2 linked regions of the Arabidopsis thaliana genome follow. The protein of the gene in region 2 interacts with the protein of the main gene of each other region in a pairwise test. Each region holds a gene or a part of one and is shown on either strand. Other genes may lie near its edges.

Region 1 (8,902 bases), about 15 Mb from region 2:
ATTGAGAGAACGCCAAAAAAGGGGAAAACTTTATTCAGTTAGATCACAGGAAGAAGATTCTTGCAAATTTCATTCCTTTTCTTAAAAGCCATTATCGATTAACCAAAAAGATCACGGATTTGAAGAGATACACATGTGTGAATCACAAAAAAAAAAAAAAAAAAATGGGAGATGGAGAATTGTAGAGAACGTACTAAGGACACGAGAACTGAGACAAGAACCCATTTAGTAGAATGATGAAGAAGATCGTTTTTTTTTTTTGCACTTTTCTCTGACAATGAATTTCTTCTTATGCTGTTTTTGGGTGGAGCAGATTCTATCAGATAAAACTCATTAAAGCGAAATAATAAAGAGAAAAAAAAAAGAGAAAGAGAAAAAGTAAACACTGAAGAAGAGAGAGGATGAGAGAAGAGAAAGAGAAGATGTGTGTTGATGAGATGGTAGAGGCAACCGAAGGAAGAAGAAAGGTCTTTTTCTTGTCCAAACAAAAAAAAAACGAATTCAGACAAAAGTTATATTTTTGACCAAAAGATAATAAACGAGTTCTAAATAAAATTAGTAATAACAATTTAATGATCAGTGGGACTTTTCTATTGTATGATTTTTAAAACTTTTGAAATTCATAGATTGATTTTGATGATCTTAAGCATCTGAGTAAACGTGCAAAAAGATCACTAATGATATATGTTTAAGATTCAAAATAACGTTTTTAATAGATATGACATCTGAGTCAGATGGTCATGAGATTTTGGAATCTTTAATAGGCCTGAAATAAATTCGCCGTGGTGGGGTTGGATACAAAAAGAAAGAAAAAAAAGGACAAATTTTGTCGAAAATGATAGATATTCATGTGATCATAGATATTTTCGATTTATATGCTTTGGGTGTGGAATGATGAAACAGATTCGGGTTTAGTAATAGTGGTCTCAAAAATGTTTATAAAAGTAGGTAAGAAAATATAAGATTTGTAAGAACTAAGAAAAATATCTACTTAACCAGGAATTAAATTAAAGTTTACAAGTAGGTAAGAAAAATAAGATTTTTCAGGAAAAAATTATGCTTGACTACATACGTATAATGTAATTAAATTTAGTATCATGGGATGGGACATAAGTTTTATAAATACAAGTTTTTAAAACAGAGAAATTTTTTACCAAAACTTGTTTTGAGTCATACGGACCCAAAATTACTCTATTGCTGAAATGATCGATGACTTAGTCAAACCTCCATTTCTAAGGTCACAATTGTTTGCTCGTTACGCAAATAAGTCCAAGGTCAACTATATAATATAATACTCATAAAAATTCAATCCCTACTTTCTTAAATATTACTCAGAAATAAATAAAATATAAGTCACCAGAAATGTGGGTTGACTTGGGAGATAATACGTTATCACATTTGTAGCTGAGTCACATATTGTGGAGTTTTTATTGGCACTAGTTGGATTTTCGTGGTCGGATCAAAATCCATACACATTTTCATCATACTGAGTCCAATTTTTTAATAAATGGTTTGAACAATTCTGACATACGGGAGCTCTTATTTTGGACTTAACCGTCTCTTTTACATTATCACTTTAGTTCCACTGAGCCGTTTTACTCAAATTACATAAGCATTTTGTTTTCTACAAACATTGACATTCCTAATACAATGAGTTTCTCCATGAAATTTCTTTTCCTTTTTTACTCTCTACATAATAATTTCGTAATGTTGGACATTTTTCAAGATGATGACAATAAAGTTGAAAATAATAATGTTCTAAAAGCTAAAATGTCAAAAATGACAGACCAATAGGCAAAAAGCGATAAAAGGGAAAAAATAAAGTCATTTCCCACTTCTCCTGTATTCTCTCGTCATTTATTTAACAAGTAAAGCCATTTTCAAAGTGGTTGACAGCATGATTCAGAGATCAAGCATGACAAAATACCAAAGTCTAAAATGGAACAAACAACATATTATATAACACACAGGTTTATGATCGGACGACATTAGAAATAGGGGTTTGATCAAAAGGCCCGAGGGGTTATGAACTCCAAACACAGATTCTCTGAAGAGTTGAGAAGACTGTAAAAGGAAGGGATTTGCAAATTGCAAGTCCACAGCTAAATAAATGGCGAAGAAAATGATTGTTGCGTTCTCAAAACAATATAGTAAGAGAGAAACTTTTGCCAAATACAACTGAAGCAAAATGTATCATATCATAATACCAACTTATTCATTTTTTCAGAGTTGCGACTGGAAAAGCAAAGGACTTTTAAATTGCTTAATGAGCTCATTAGGCACTTTTCTTCACCTCTGCGGCCTTAATGATGTCGATAAACTCAGGCTGCAAAAAGACCAAGAATGAAAACATTAGTCATGGTTTTGAAAGAGACAAACGAAAGATATCATTACAAGAGAAACCATATTATATGTACCTTTAGAGAAGCACCACCGACCAAGAAACCATCAACATCGGCCTGTCCACCTAGCTCCTTGCAGTTACCACCATTGACGGATCCTGATAATAATTTGCATAATCAAGCTAAGTAACATAGAAAACTATATAGGGGTGTTTAATTAAAGATCGTGTTATCATCTATCTACCTCCATAAATGATGCGGGTTGTAGCAGCGACATCAGCACTCACGTTCTTGGCCAGCCATTTCCTCAGCTCATCGTGTACCTGTTCATAAACGAAACAAGCTCTCGTAAGGAAAACAGCATTGGTTTTCCTATTAAATCATGACCATATGCAACACGTTACAGTGCAACTGCGCATCGAGAACCACTTACTTCTTGAGCTTGGGCTGGGCTAGCGACCTTTCCGGTTCCAATGGCCCACACTGGTTCATAGGCTATGACAACATTTGACCAGTTTGTCACCCGATCTGCCATTACCAACAAAAAGAGTTTTTTAGCCAACAAATATTTCTGTGGGGTTTGAATCACACACTAAGGGAGTATAGTGCGTAGAAACGGGCATCACTATCATCAAAACAGGTCTCACTGTAAACGAGAACGAACTGAGATAGCAAAAAGAGATTAAATGTTTGACAATATACATACCGGCAATAGCCTTGGTCTGGGCAGCCACAACATCCATGGTCGATCCAGCTTCCCGCTCCTCAAGAGTCTCACCAACACAAGCAATCACTTTCAAACCTTGAGCAAGTGCATAGGCAACCTTGTCTCCGACGAACTACAAATGTAGGATAGAGGTCAAAAACCAAAATCATGAATTTAAAAGCTATTTGAGTCTCCAGAAAATTATTTTATCATGTAAAGTCACCAACCTCGCTTGATTCATTAAGGATTGCCCTCCTTTCAGAGTGACCAAGGATAACCCATGGAATATCCAAGTTCACAAGCATCTCCGCACTAAAACACACAAATTACACAATGCATAAGAGCAGGAAATACAGGCACCACAGAATATATCTTTTCTTCCTATGAAAGCATTCCATAGACAGGTAAATCATATTACACCTACTTGTCTAACCAGGCACGAATCCAATCATGGTCTTACTACCAACTACTAGTTGTTTTCTTAATCACTTAGGTTACACAATTCTTATAGGAAAGAAGATAAAGAAGAAGAACAGATGGAAAAATCGATTCGTTTATAAACACAATCATATTCATTTTCAAAACCATAAATATTTACTGCATGAAGCAATAATGGTAAAACAGCTTAAAGTATACACCAATGGTTAGAATCTCACCTCACTTCACCAGTGAAAGCACCTCCTTTCTTAACCCAACAGTTTTGTGCCGCAACAAAAAAGTCAGACCTCAATGTGCTCTTAACCAGGGGAAGAAAAACATATGGAGGGCTAACCACAACCTCTGCATTTAGTAAAATTTCATCAAATTATTAATACAAGAACAAACATACTTATAACTATCAACAAAGATAGAACCATAACAAGTATATGATAAAGAACATTTTAACTAACAACAAACACTAGATCTATCCATGGTTCCTAAGAAGCATAAACACTATAGAACATCGATGTACATTGAAACAGGTTTGTAATTGTATGCCCAAAATATTTGTCACTACTTAAGATTTCATAGACATGGAAATTAAAAAAAAAGCCATAATGTCGTCAAAGCAATTGAGATGCTACACATACCTACAACATCCTGTGAAGGAACCTGAGCTTCATTAAGAGTGTTCACAATCTTCTTCACCTCCTCAGCAGTTCCGTTCTATATAAGATTACAAATTCAAATATTAACATGTTAAAATAGTTTAACCAACAAAATTAACACACGGATCCACCAAAGCTAGAACACGAGATATCAATTGAAGAAAAATTCCTACTCAAAATTTTGACAAAAAAAAACAACTAAGATCCGGCATAGAATCGACAAATCTGAACCATATGCATTACAATTCAAATTCCACCGCTACAAATAATGAAAAAAACCTTAGATCTTAAGATCGGGATTTTCCGATCTCTTTGACTTGATCGGGGAAGGATCAAGTGACAAGACTAATAATAAGGTGCGCAATAGAAGGTAAAGATCACTTACACATTTCCAGTTGCCTCCGACGAAGAACTTTCTGGCCATTATCTCAAATTTTTTTCAGGCGATGATCACGAGAGTCACAGATACGACGACGATGGAGAGAGCTGAAAAGATTAGATCGATAGTGTTCAGTGGCCGTTGTCTCTCGCAGGGGTCACTCATATATATATAAATAAAAATATACTCTCAACATTTTAGATTGGAAAAGACGCATATGTCTAGGGTATATGAGAATATTCCCTGAACGATTAGGAAAGTTGAGGATATTAAAGTAAATTAGGAGGGAGGATGAAATATTATGGACGTGTTGGCCAAGGTTTGGTCGGTGTACCGGGTGGGGTGAATAATAAGAATAGACAACGGCGTGGATAGTGATGCTGTTGTATGGGCTTTAGGCCCATTAAAGCAAGCACATCAATAAAACCCAAGTTTGGTTAAAGGAAAGCCTATTGAGATGATTCTGAAACCAAATTATATTTGTATTCCCTTAAAGATAAATTCTGTATTACGCAATTCTTTCTTTTTTTTTCTTTTTTTTTTTTGGTAAAAGTTTAAATCGTATTATGCAATTCTATATTGTAATGCCCCTTCTTGGATACAAATAGTGTGGAGAAGGAGAAAACTGTTGTAAGTTCTCAAGTTAAACTACTAAACCACCATGAGAGCATTGAGCCGGCTCACTTCAAACATTGTGGCATACTTCAACAAACATATTGTTAGTCTAAAGGGCTATCGAGTGGCATCGATTATTTTATGTGATATCATTAAAAAGTAACAATGGTAATTTGTTATTGCAAAAAATAAGGATGGGATTTAATTAAAAAAATACAAAATTACGTGGTTTGTGTGTGTGTGCAATGAGTGTAACCATGTCATTGAAAATGACAATAAACTGTTAACAATGAGACATGGACGCGGATCTTCTTTTCCCAAAGAAAGCATAACAAATGGCTAAAGCGTGTCGGTAAAAGTTACTTCGAATCAGCTTCCTCAACAACATCTTCATACTTCGAATCTCTTTGACTTTGGTCCGTAGTGTTCAAACTCCAAACTATTCCTCCTACAAACACGTGTCCAATGGGCCAATGGCATTATCCCAAACCGCGTCGATCTCTCTTCTTTTTCTTTTCACTTAATATTTAACCATATACATTTCGTTGATACATCAATATTACTAATCGATTTTTTTTTTAGTTTTAAGTTTAGCAGTAAAAACTCAGATAGTCTCCTTTGACCTCATTAAGAACATCTTTTAATAAACGTATCCAAGAAAAAACAACACTCGATCTCTCTTTTGTTTTCTTAACTTCACTTTAGTTCCTTTTTTTCAAATATAGTTCATCCGTATCTGGATAAAATTAGGATTGTAAAATTACGATTAACAAGAAAGAGGTATATTTTTAGATTAAACTTGGATAGTATGAGTATTTACCAGCCAAAAACCATTAAAGAAAAAGATGACAAATTGATTATCCAAACAAAAGCAGACTCTATAATTAGCCAAATTAATTAACTAAAGTTTCCACGGTCACAACAAAATCCACTTTTTCAATAATTTACAACGGCCTAAATTTAAGCCGACGCACATGAAAAACAAAGACAACACAAACTTCTTCTTTTATTTTGCTTTCCACAAAATCCAGCTGTTCCTCACTAAAAATATACACACGTATACGCTATACAAAACGGTCATATCTATTAATTTTTATTATAAATACTTTCTCGATAAGAATAAAAAAATCTATTCGTCGTAATAATAAAAACACAACTCAAACGATTCACGGGTTTCACTTGGAATCGTTTGGTTTTCTCATTTCCGAAATATAAAAAGATGGCCAAAGCGCCACCGTCAATCTCTCTTCTCCTCCTCCTCTGCGCCGCCGTATTCCTCACCATCCCCGCCGTGATCTCCGCCATCGGTGTTAACTACGGAACTCTCGGAAACCTCCCACCACCGACTCAGGTGGCTAACTTTATCAAGACACAAACTTCGATTGATAGCGTCAAGATCTTCGATGTGAATCCCGATATCCTACGTGCCTTCGCTGGAACTGGTATCTCCGTCGTTGTCACCGTTCCTAACGGTGATATTCCGGCGTTGGCTAACGGAAGACAAGCTCGTCGGTGGGTTTCGGTTAACATTTTGCCGTTTCATCCTCAGACGAAGATTAAGTATATCTCAGTCGGAAATGAGATTCTGCTCACCGGAGATAATAACATGATCAATAATCTCTTACCGGCGATGAGGAATCTTAACAACGCTTTGGTTCGTGCTGGTGTCAGAGATGTTAAGGTCAGCTTTCTCTCTATTTTTCAGATTTTTCTATTTTAAGGAATAAGTAGAATATTTGTTTGGTTTTGGTAAATAAAATTAAAGTTAAGTTTGATGTTCATTATTGTATAAATTTCAGATAAAAAATTTTGAAATCTCAACTTTGAATTTGATATTTGCTAGTGGGAAAGTTTTTTTTTTTTTTGTTTACTTAACTTTTTTACCTAGTTTTAATTTTCTTTAACTAAAAGAAATTGTAATTATTAATAGTGAATTGATGATTGGCGTGAAAAATGCACTGTTTTTTTTTCTTTCCCTTTTTTATATCAGAGATAATGCATTGATTGCGCATATGTATAAAGTTGAAAAACAACGTTGAAAAAAATATGCAAAACAAAAATTGATTATTTTGAAAAATTAGATTCAATCTCTATTTTTTCGTCTGTTATCTAACTTGAAATCCAAAATTTCACGCAAACGTAGAATGTTGCGTTTGCTTCTTTCTTTTTTTCATCCAACTTGTATATTGTTAGTTTCTTAAAAAGAGGAAAAAAATAAATTCCCAAAGCAAAATTCAAAGATTTGAAACTTGAAAATGTTAGCGATTGGATTAAGATCTGACCATTTAGACTATCCCACGTGCTTATCTCATCACCGTCCAAGGTTATCCTATTGTCCTTAGATTCGTTCATCTGTCTGCCATGCCTTATGTTTCCTTTATTACATCATGATATATGTGATCCTAGGTAAATGAGATAATGTACCAATTTCATAGGAAATTTAGACCAACATGATTATCATATGAAAATTGTTGGAGATTGGTAGGTAACAATTGATTCTAATACTACTATTTGTTGCAATTGATCTCAGGTTACAACCGCACACTCACTTAACATCATAGCCTATGACCTGACCGGTGCACCAAGCAGCGGTAGATTCAGGCCGGGTTGGGACAAAGGCATATTGGCTCCAATCCTAGCTTACCATCGCCGAACCAAGTCACCTTTCATGGTTAACCCGTACCCTTACTTTGGTTTTGACCCCAAAAACGTCAACTTCGCAATTTTCCGAACACCGTACAAGGCAGTCCGTGACCCGTTCACCCGCCACGTCTACACCAACATGTTTGATGCACTCATGGACTCGACATACTCAGCCATGAAAGCTCTTGGATACGGTGATGTTAACATTGTCGTTGGCGAGACTGGCTGGCCATCTGCTTGTGACGCACCTTGGTGCTCGCCTGCGAATGCTGCTTGGTTCAACCTCAACATTATCAAACGTGCACAAGGCCAAGGGACACCTCTCATGCCTAACAGACGGTTCGAGACATACATTTTCGGTCTCTTCAACGAAGAAGGCAAACCCGGTCCGACCGCAGAGCGTAACTGGGGACTTTTCCGAGCAGATTTCTCCCCGGTTTACGATGTTGGTCTTCTCCGAAACGGACAAGGCGGTGGAGGCCGCCCAGCATTGCCCGCACCTAGTACTGCCGGCGGTAAATGGTGTGTAGCGAGGTCCGGGGCGACGAATACTCAGCTGCAAGACAGTATTAATTGGGTGTGTGGTCAGGGTGTTGACTGTAAACCGATCCAAGCTGGTGGTTCGTGCTTTAACCCGAGCAGTTTGAGGACGCACGCATCTTTTGTTATGAATGCTTATTTCCAGAGCCACGGCCGCACTGATGGTGCTTGTAACTTCAGTGGAACTGGTATGATCGTAGGGAACAACCCAAGCAATGGTGCATGTAAGTACTAAGGAGATTGTCTATGTAGTAGTATTTGTCTGGAAAATCCTAACATAATGGTTCTGAGGAACTTTGGATTTGAGAGATCATCAGCTTTGTGTTTAATTTCGGATTATCCTAATTTTAAGATTTTTTTGTTAATTATTTTTTCGCTGATTCCTTTTATTTAAATAAAGTGGAACTTCCATAAAATTTGCTTCAGCGTTACGCTTAAAAACATTGATTTGTGTGACTTGTGATCTTTATGTTGGATATAGATGGTCCATCAACCTATAAAGCAATATAAGCGTTTAGAAACATAACCTTATCTACAAGATAATTATGTCTTTCTAGGCCATGAGATTAGCATCAGTTGAAGATTTCTA
Region 2 (9,272 bases):
TCAGAAGCTTTTATCTCCTTGGGAAATAGGCTTTAGATAACTGAACCGAGAGAACTTAATCGTTGTATGATATCTCTGGGGGATGTGTTATGCAGCACCCTACTGTTGCAGAATGTTGCGTGTTGGGGTTAACAGACAACGACTATGGAGAAGCCGTGACTGCGATAATTATAGCAGAGAGTGCAGCAAAGAAGAGAAGAGAGGATGAGTCAAAACCTGTAATAACCTTAGAAGAACTGTGCGGTTGGGCTAAAGACAAGCTTGCTCCTTACAAGGTACTAAAAATCTGCCAAAGTGTTGTCAAAACGCGCAACAGTCTTGTCAATCTTTTTTTCTTTTTTTTTCTTGTCCATAATATTCTGTCTTTTCAGCTACCAACAAGATTGCTGATATGGGAGAGCTTGCCTCGCAACGCCATGGGAAAGGTAGCTATATTTCTCTCAAATTTTTTCTTTTTTCTTGAATGATATCAGAGATAGTTGTTTTGTTGTAACCAATAAGAATCATTCTCAGTGTATGAGTATTTTTTTCGAGTTGCAGGTGAACAAAAAAGAGCTAAAGAAATCTCTGGAAAATCAAGAATAAAGACAACCATGGATTTCATTGCTACTCCTTGTTCTTTTGATTATATGACACGTATGCATAAAATGTAATTTCCTTCTTTCCTGTATCATGTACTTTGACTCAATAATGTCAAGAATCAATACCAAATTAACTATTTGAGAAGTAAATCTTTGTTATATACTATTTCTTTGTTTAGTGTGAAGAACAACAAAATTGTATAGTGTGAAAGAAGGAAAGTTGACCATAGTCTTTGACTCTTTGATGCTAAATCAGTAATCATTCCAAAAGGGTATAATGGTAATTAACTATGATGATCCGATAACCATATATTCCCACACGCAAGTTTGTTTTGTAACGAGAACGTAAAAAGACGAAGAAGAAGGGACAGTATGGTAGATCCAACGATCCATAACACGACGACGTATCTCGAAGAGATAGCAAAAGGAAACGGGCAAACCGAGTTCGAGATTTTAATCTTGAAAGGCTTAGAACTCATCCATGTCGGGAAAGGGATCTTACGTTGTAAATTACTTGTCACAGATCATGTCGTGGTAATAAAATTTACTTAATCCAACGAATCTAGTTTTAAGCTTCCTTTTTTGTGTTTTTGATTGGTGAACGTTATTATTACTAAACAATGCGAAAGATGATTCTCAGGGAGAAGATGGAAGTTGGAATGCGGGAGTGATTACGGCGGTGATGGACTCGATCGGAGCGTCAGCTGTGTACTCCTCCGGCGGCGGACTCCATATCTCTGTTGATCTCAACTCTTCGTTTTATTCAACGGCCAAGATTCACGTTCGCTTTCCCTATCCTCATTTTTCTCTCGTTTTTTTTGTTATGAAACATGCAAACTACTAAATTAGGTAAATTACTATTATTAGTAATGATTAGAAGTAATAATGATAAGAAAAAACTACAAAATTGCAGGAAACGGTAGAGATAGAAGCAAGAGTGAATGGAAGCAATGGAGGATTAAAATCAGCTGTGATTGAGATTAGAAGAGAAACAAGTGGAGAAATTATAGCCACAGGAAGATTGTGGATGGCTCCACTTAGCGTCAAAGCCATACAAAATGTTTCTACTCTTAGTAAGCTTTGATTTTTTCTTAATTTAAGTGATTCAATTTCCCAAAGTCAAAAACACCACAAATCACCATTTTGAAAATTTGATTCTCTTCAATCAAATATCATACACACAATGTTTTTTTTTTTTTTGTAATAATTAAATAAACACACGACCCATTAATTAACATCAACCTCTACATCCTAAGAAAATCCAAATCCATGATATAATAATCTAATTACATACAAATATATAGAATTTTATAACACACGTACACCATTTAATTATGATCAACCAATTGGTCTTAGTTTAATTTAATAACTTCCTCTTCTTCTTTTCTCATACCATTAACCTTATCATTCCTCACCTGATCCACCGTAGGACCATAGGACCAGCTACACACAACGTAGTAGATGACATTAACGAAGCTCAAGATCGCTAAAACCCAATAGTAATAGTCATAGTGACCCTTGTTGATGTTATCTTCAATCCAGCTCACATTGCCCTGCTTTGAGCTATTCTTTACCGCATTTAGGATCACACTAGCCAAGATATTAGCCACTGCCATTCCTAGACCGAACAACGAAGCTGCGATACTCGACATGCTTTTAGGAAACTCGGTATAGAAAAACTCGGTCTGTCCTATCCCGGTCAAGGCCTCTGCTAAACCGTGTAGTACATACTGTGGTACAAGCCACATTGCTGAGATGCTCACTGTTGAGTTGGCATCGTTTGCGAGTCCTTGGCTTATCGCGGTTTTCCTTCTGTAATGTTCAACAGTTGCGGAAACCGCCATTGCTAAGAATGATATGAATAGCCCTAATCCCATTCGAATCTTGACATTGACTCTAACTGGTCTGCCTCGGATCTTTGAAGCTAAAGGGAGAATTGCGCGGTCGTACAGAACAACCCATGAGATTAAGGCTATGATTGTGAACATACCAAACGATCCAGCTGGGATTTGGAAGGTCGAATTGCTGCTTAAACGTCTGTCCATTGATTTAGCTTGAAGCAACTGAAAAGAGTTCTGGCTAACGTTTATCGACATCATTATCCCCGTGGACCATACCGGTATCACCTTGACCAACGCCTTGAGTTTCTCAACTTGGTCCGTTGTGCATAGCCTCCACTGGTTTAAGGCCAAACCATCAGAACCAAGGTCTTCATCGCGGTTACTTATGGCACAAGCTTTGTTTAAAAACCTAAGCAATTGCAAGAAAGTATCAATAAATAAAAAAACTAACCAAGAACTATATATGTGAAACTGATTTCACTTTACCTCAATTTGTCACTTGGAGCTTTGAGTTCAGAATCTTTCAAACGGTAATAACAATCTCTGGAGTCATGATGATCCGGCAAAGTTAAGTTTCTCTTCACGTAAGCTGCAGCAACCACTTGAGCTAAACCAGTGAACAGACTCTTGCTCACATCGCGCTTAACGTAGAGAGGAGACGCGAAAACAAACAAGAAACCCGCGAGCAGCATGAGAATCGCGGGTATTCCAAACCCGATTTTCCATCCTAGATGATCTTGAATGTAAACAATGACGGTGAAAGCGATCAAGACAGCAACTGATGAAGAAGCGTAGTACCAACCAAAGAAACTCTCAAGAACTCTCTCGTTCTTAGGATTCTCTTTGTTGTCCAATTGATCAGCACCAAAGGCTAAAGAACATGGCCTGATTCCTCCTGATCCAATCGATATTAATGCGAATGCGGTATACAAGAGAGCCAATTGAGAAGATGTCGCGGAACTGCAGTTGGTTCCGGCTGTTGCTACACACGGTGATGGTTTTACTTGCGGCAACATCGCCGTTAGCCATAGAACCACCATCCCCTGTAACATTTTTGATTCAGACAAATTTATTAAAACAATGTAGTAGGTTAGATTTTGACGTTTTTGTTTTTCATAATAAAAATGTAGTTATCACTTCATTCGTAAAATCTGTAGATGTCTTCCAAAAAAAGTACTTCCAAGAACAAGAATCCAAGTATTAGATCAGAATCTACACGTACGTCAATTGTCACATCCATCATACGAAAACATTATTTTCTTACGGAAAATGATTGATACTCGAGATGAATGATTGATGTAGAGATTTCAAAATCAATTGATGTCACTATGTATATGATAAGTTTTTTTTTCCAAGTGGGTGAAATAATAAGTTTGATCAAGAATGGGACAAGTAGTACAAAAACATGGGTCACCAATCGATATTGCTTTCATGTCTAACACTTATATGTTGGCCAAAAAACTAATGTCAAATCCTTAAATGGTGGCAAAATGTAGGTCCACGTCAGCTTGACCCATATATTTGGACATATAAATAATGAAACTCTAAGTCTACATACAACAAAAAGTAATAACAAAATGATATTTTTTATACATAGAGAGATGCAAGCAGTGTGGTCACTCACAATCACACAAGTTGCCAGAGAAAGCCCACAAGACCATAACCACAAGGAAAGCAACAAACAAGATTTTAAGGAATTAATAATGATATTAAATACTTTATGATTATTTAAGACCTGTTATTATATAAACTCACATGGACATTTCAGAACACCTGGCTTCGAATTTAATTTTACCGACTTTTATATTTTTGATGGACACAAATATTAAAAACAAATCAAAGCGGGTTTAGTTTCTCCATTCATTGGACAGCAATTTCAGGGAAGCACATGCAACATGTGAAAATTTTGACTCTTAATGGAAAAAGGCTTCTAAAAAGCTTAATCATATCAACTCTTAAATTAGAAATTTCACTGTAGATGATTATCATTAGATATTATAGTACTTAAAGCAGAAATATACAGCTATCAATGATTTAGCAAAACCAACGGTAAAAAGTTATAAAATTTTAGTAAAAACCCCTGAAATTTACCATACCAATCTTTTTTTTACTATTTCGAGAATATAAAATAATTAAATAATTACATACAAAACCTCGTACCATTTAATTCTTGGCCCTTAATTCTATGACTTGGTTAGATTTTATGGAATTCTCTTTTTGTTGTCGACGCAAGTAAAGTCAAGTCCAATTATCGAAAACTATCAAACCGGAATTTAACTCCAATTATCAATGCATGTAAGTAAGGTCCAATTGTCTAAAGCCAAGTAATAAAACACTGAATACAAGCACGATATTTCACCCAAATCAACTTAAACCGAAACTTTCGGTTTAGATTCCCAATTTTAATAAAACTCAACCTTTACTGACAGTAAACATAAACAAAGCATTTCCAAACCAAAGGCTAACTAGGTGGTGAAAAATGTTGAGTCAAAGAAGTGGCTAAAAAATTGAACCGGAGTAAACCGGGAGAAAGAAGAAGCGTAAACCGGTTAAATAGGGGACGGAAATTACCAGGAGACTGGAGAGAGAAGCAATGACAATGGTGAGAAAGCGACCCAAATATGAATCTGAGAGAAAAGCTCCAACGAGAGGCATGAAATTAGTAGCAGCAACCCACATGAACAAGACAGTTTGTCCTTTAACAAGTCCCAATCTGTAATCACTCATCAGATAAAGAATCATGTTCTGTAATAATCCATAGCTCGCCACTTTCTCGAACCCCTCGTTTGCTTCACCGAGTAACAAACAAGATGAGATAAAATTAGTAACAAGATTTGGGTTTTTGTCTAAAAAAGTGAGAGAGATCGTTTGTTACCAATGATGAAGGGCATAGTGAGAAGACCACCCTTTGTTCTTCTTCTTGTAATGGGTTGTTGAAGAGTCTCCTTTGACTCTGTTTGATCCGGAGGGTTCTCCATTGTTGTTACCTTTCAAGCTTCGAGAGAGGGGAAGAGAGAAAAGTGAAAAAGAGAAGAGAAGGAGGAGAAGATCTTTGTCTTTGTGAGAGTTTTGAGTTAATGCGATCTTATTTTTCAGTTCAGACAGCGAGGAATCTCTGTTTTCTGCGACGAGTGAGCAATAATAAATGGCTGTTATTTAAATACTACATTTTCTTTTTCCCTCAAGGCAAATTGTTTTTTAATTTTTTAATTTTATTAATTAATTTATCATAATGATTTTTATAGAGTGAGGTTTTATCCTATATGGCACACGACAATTTTCATTCTTAGTTAGAACTTAGAAATGATTTGTTAGTAGTATGAAAGAAAAAAAGTTAGATAAAACGTCATTTTCCTAATCTTAGCTAAATACAAGTTGAAACATAAATGCCAGAAATATTCGTTTTTTTGTGAAGAAAATATCTAAAATGGAGAAGATTAACTTACATAGATATTTCAAAAAGAAGAGAAAAGAAAAAAACAGTACATTGTACATCAAACTTCCAATGTTCCATCATCCATGTTACTTACGTCAAACATAAAATGGTCTGGTGTTATTGACTTATTTTTGAAATAAATCCAATTTATTATTATTTATGTACATTTCAAATTAGTTAAATATGTTAATGTTATATACTTCGAAACCATAACTATTCTATAGATTTTTTGATGAAATAGTTGTTGGAAGTGAATTTGCAATGTAGAAGAATCAATCACAAGAATTTCAATATTGTATTATCTTCTAAAGATGTCTTCTAATCAGACTTAAACTCTTAAAAAGTTTATGAGAGCTTCAACTATATCATTATACTGTAACTAAACATGTAAATGGCTTTCCACAAATCACATCCAATTATCGAAAGGAACGGATCAAAAATCATAACAAAAGTTTACTAATAATTGAGAATGGAAAACATCCCATGAGGTTAACAGCTTTTGTTTTGGCTCTCTCTCTTCCTCTTTTCTTGACAAATTGAAACTTTTTGTTATTCAATTCTTTTTTTTCAGTTTAAAGTTAAAAAATGGATTCATTAAAGTAAGTGCAATCATATATAAAGTTTTTTTTAATTCGCTTTCTCCTTATCACACTAATAAGTCAACATCTCAAAGAGTCGGCCCAAAGAATATAATAAAATAATAGCATACGAAAGTTTACCAAACCCATGTAACAATTGACCTCATGAATAATAGTTTATGTTTTAACAAAAATATGAATAATAGTATATGTTTAACTGTATAATTTTCTATGTATCTAAGAAGTTTCGGACTTTACGATGTATAGTAACTTCGACCAAGAGATTAAATTAGTAGTTTTCCCTGCTAATGTCGACTTTAAGACGAACCCCATCTTATAAAGTTACTCGTATCTAATCGGTTAAACTATCCATTCCAAATTAACAATTATATTTTCTTATGTGACTTAATCCAAATAATGAATGCAAAGAAAACTAACATTCATTATTCACAAAACATTATATATTGCTAAACAATATCATACTGTTAGATTCTGAGGATATAAACTACTGTATCAAAATACTTATCACTAATTTGTGATTCTATATCCTACAGGCTATATATCATTATACGCTAAGTAATTACGTTTCCAAGTTAAATGATACAAGTATTTGAAAGTTTCTGCCTAAACCAGATTATAAGTAAAGTACTTATGTTCAGTACAAAATTAAAAATGGTGCAACCAGATTTGAATGAAAAAGTTCGTACAAAATTAAGTGCGGTGTCTGATGATGGCAGAAGACTCGCTAGTAGGAACCAAAAATGAAATTTCATTATCCAAAAATTTATTTGTGGTCTTTCATGCATCCACATGAACAGTTTCAATACCAAATACCTAATTTAGTTTTTAAAAAAAATCGTAATTAATCAATACATCAAGAATTCAACATTAGATTATCCTGCTATTAAAAAAATCTCTTAAAATAATTTCTTAGAACATTAGAATAATTTAAAAACAAAAAGTGAATAAAAAGCCATAATGATGAGAGTGACATGGTCATTTGCCTTGCACGTGGGTGTTTGGATACTCTGCAATCTCCTTTTTGACAAACTTGTTAATCCACACTACTCATTATGTCATTTCATTTTTAATTTGTGATCATCATAACTACTTAGCCTCGTCGTAACAACTTAACCCAAGAAAATCAGAGTTAGATCCAAATAAAAGTGATGGGACACTTTAAAGAAACGAAACAAAAAAAAAAACACTGTGGATAAAGCAAAAAGCAAATGGTAACATAAATTGTTTTTACTATATACATTTCGGCGTTTGTGAAATAATACAGTCGAAAGAAATGGTCTCTAGGTTAACACTATGCATAGAATTTGGTGAGAAACATTACAGAATATATTTCATTTAAATTCGGTGTTCGATAATGTTGTGAAAGAGTGAATGTAGATTGTGGACGAAGATAATTCTGGGACACTTCCAAAAGAAGAAGACTGTAGAAAATGAATTGTCTCTGAAACATTATTATTCAAAGATTGCTTGACTTACACGCCACCTCCTCATTTTTCCTCCATTTCTTACTTCAAGAAGGAAAGGTCTATTGAGGTATGTGTCAGGTTTCAGACTTATTTTTTCTTCTCAAATTCAAAAAAAATATATTATTTTGTCAGACTCATTTTTCTCACCTACTCTACTTTCTTATTCAATGTTCTCTCTATTTTTTTTTAGCTCTGTTCCAGTCCCTTCTCCATTTACACACAAGCTAATTACCTTGTCTTCTTCTTGTTGTAATTTATTAAAAATTTAGAAGGTGGGTATTTTGTTACTTTGCTATTGAATTGGTTGTTATGGAAATTGTTGGATATTAAGGTCCAGTCTGTAAATTGGAGAATTTTAATGTCGAAACTATTTGAGTTATTTTCGCATACTGTAGTTACAAGTATCACGTTTTAATAACTCACTGACCATCAATCCATAATGTCATTTAACACAAAAAGCTGCGAGGTATAAGCTATATACGAAAATTGGTTAAATTAATAACTTGATAAAAGAAAAAAAGAAGAAAAAGTATATCCTAGTAATCAAGTGAATTTACGAGAGACTGATAATAAGTACTCCTAAAAATTATTACTGTAATATTATTGTATTACCTCTGTTTTCAAATCATTAGATGCTTTAGTTATATCATCACACGTATATAAAATAAAAAAAGATATCTGTATTTACAAATCTACTATTTTTATATAAATTTGTATTCAATAAAGTAATACCTACACCTAAAAAGTATAAAACATATATTTTTTGTTGATAAATGAACATCTAAAAAAGTGTTATATTTAGGAAGATAGTTTAGTGAATTTCCATCTAGTATATTACTAGATACCAAAATTTGAGACGATGTGCTAAAAATATGTTTGTTTGCGTATGATTTTTACATAGATACGACATAACCTTGACTCCTGCTTTAACCAAAATTTGTTTAAGAAAAAAAAACAATGAAGCCAGCGAGGCGTATTATTTCAGTTACAAAGAGGAAAATTCATGAACTTGCCGTTTATCTATCTAAAAATTCATGAACTTGCCTTTGATATTTCAACTCTCTATTGTCCCCTTTCTTTTCATAAGTCAAATCAATCTATTATCATAAATCTAAAAAATTCTTGTCACATTTTTCTGCACCTTCTATTTTAACCTCGGAATCAATAATCGCAAAATCAAACGTTAAATCATCATATAGCTAGAAACAATATATAGTTTTTTTATAAGAAATACGATTTAATTGGTCATATATTTTGATTTATCAAACTGTTTTGGTGAAAATACATTGCCAACACACACACTCACAAATATTTTAAAACCTGATCAATATAGGTATTTATATTTTTAA

What was found. The genes of interacting proteins can lie anywhere in the genome.
Region 1: the proteins of AT3G16180 (region 2) and TPI interact in a protein complementation assay, tested with the Arabidopsis thaliana proteins (one large-scale study listed by BioGRID).

What each region holds. Positions count from the first base shown.
Region 1 is NC_003074.8:20,549,452-20,558,353, reverse strand, and holds TPI (triosephosphate isomerase), read right to left. Parts: upstream 4,952-8,902; 5' UTR 4,561-4,951; coding exon 4,522-4,560; intron 4,195-4,521; coding exon 4,119-4,194; intron 3,829-4,118; coding exon 3,705-3,828; intron 3,361-3,704; coding exon 3,276-3,360; intron 3,182-3,275; coding exon 3,049-3,181; intron 2,871-3,048; coding exon 2,776-2,870; intron 2,666-2,775; coding exon 2,587-2,665; intron 2,501-2,586; coding exon 2,418-2,500; intron 2,327-2,417; coding exon 2,276-2,326; 3' UTR 1,794-2,275; downstream 1-1,793. Other genes in the region: PBL1 (PBS1-like 1), read right to left, coding at 1-28, 147-225; AT3G55430 (O-Glycosyl hydrolases family 17 protein), read left to right, coding at 6,350-6,811, 7,661-8,548.
Region 2 is NC_003074.8:5,479,544-5,488,815, forward strand, and holds AT3G16180 (Major facilitator superfamily protein), read right to left. Parts: upstream 5,645-9,272; 5' UTR 5,401-5,644; coding exon 5,298-5,400; intron 5,212-5,297; coding exon 4,994-5,211; intron 4,988-4,993; exon of another isoform or gene 3,474-4,987; intron 3,466-3,473; coding exon 2,909-3,465; intron 2,832-2,908; coding exon 1,934-2,831; 3' UTR 1,782-1,933; downstream 1-1,781. Other genes in the region: AAE13 (AMP-dependent synthetase and ligase family protein), read left to right, coding at 96-275, 372-425, 541-585; AT3G16175 (Thioesterase superfamily protein), read left to right, coding at 954-1,115, 1,222-1,362, 1,495-1,665. UniProt on the Arabidopsis thaliana protein: Low-affinity nitrate transporter involved in xylem-to-phloem transfer for redistributing nitrate into developing leaves. Not involved in dipeptides transport.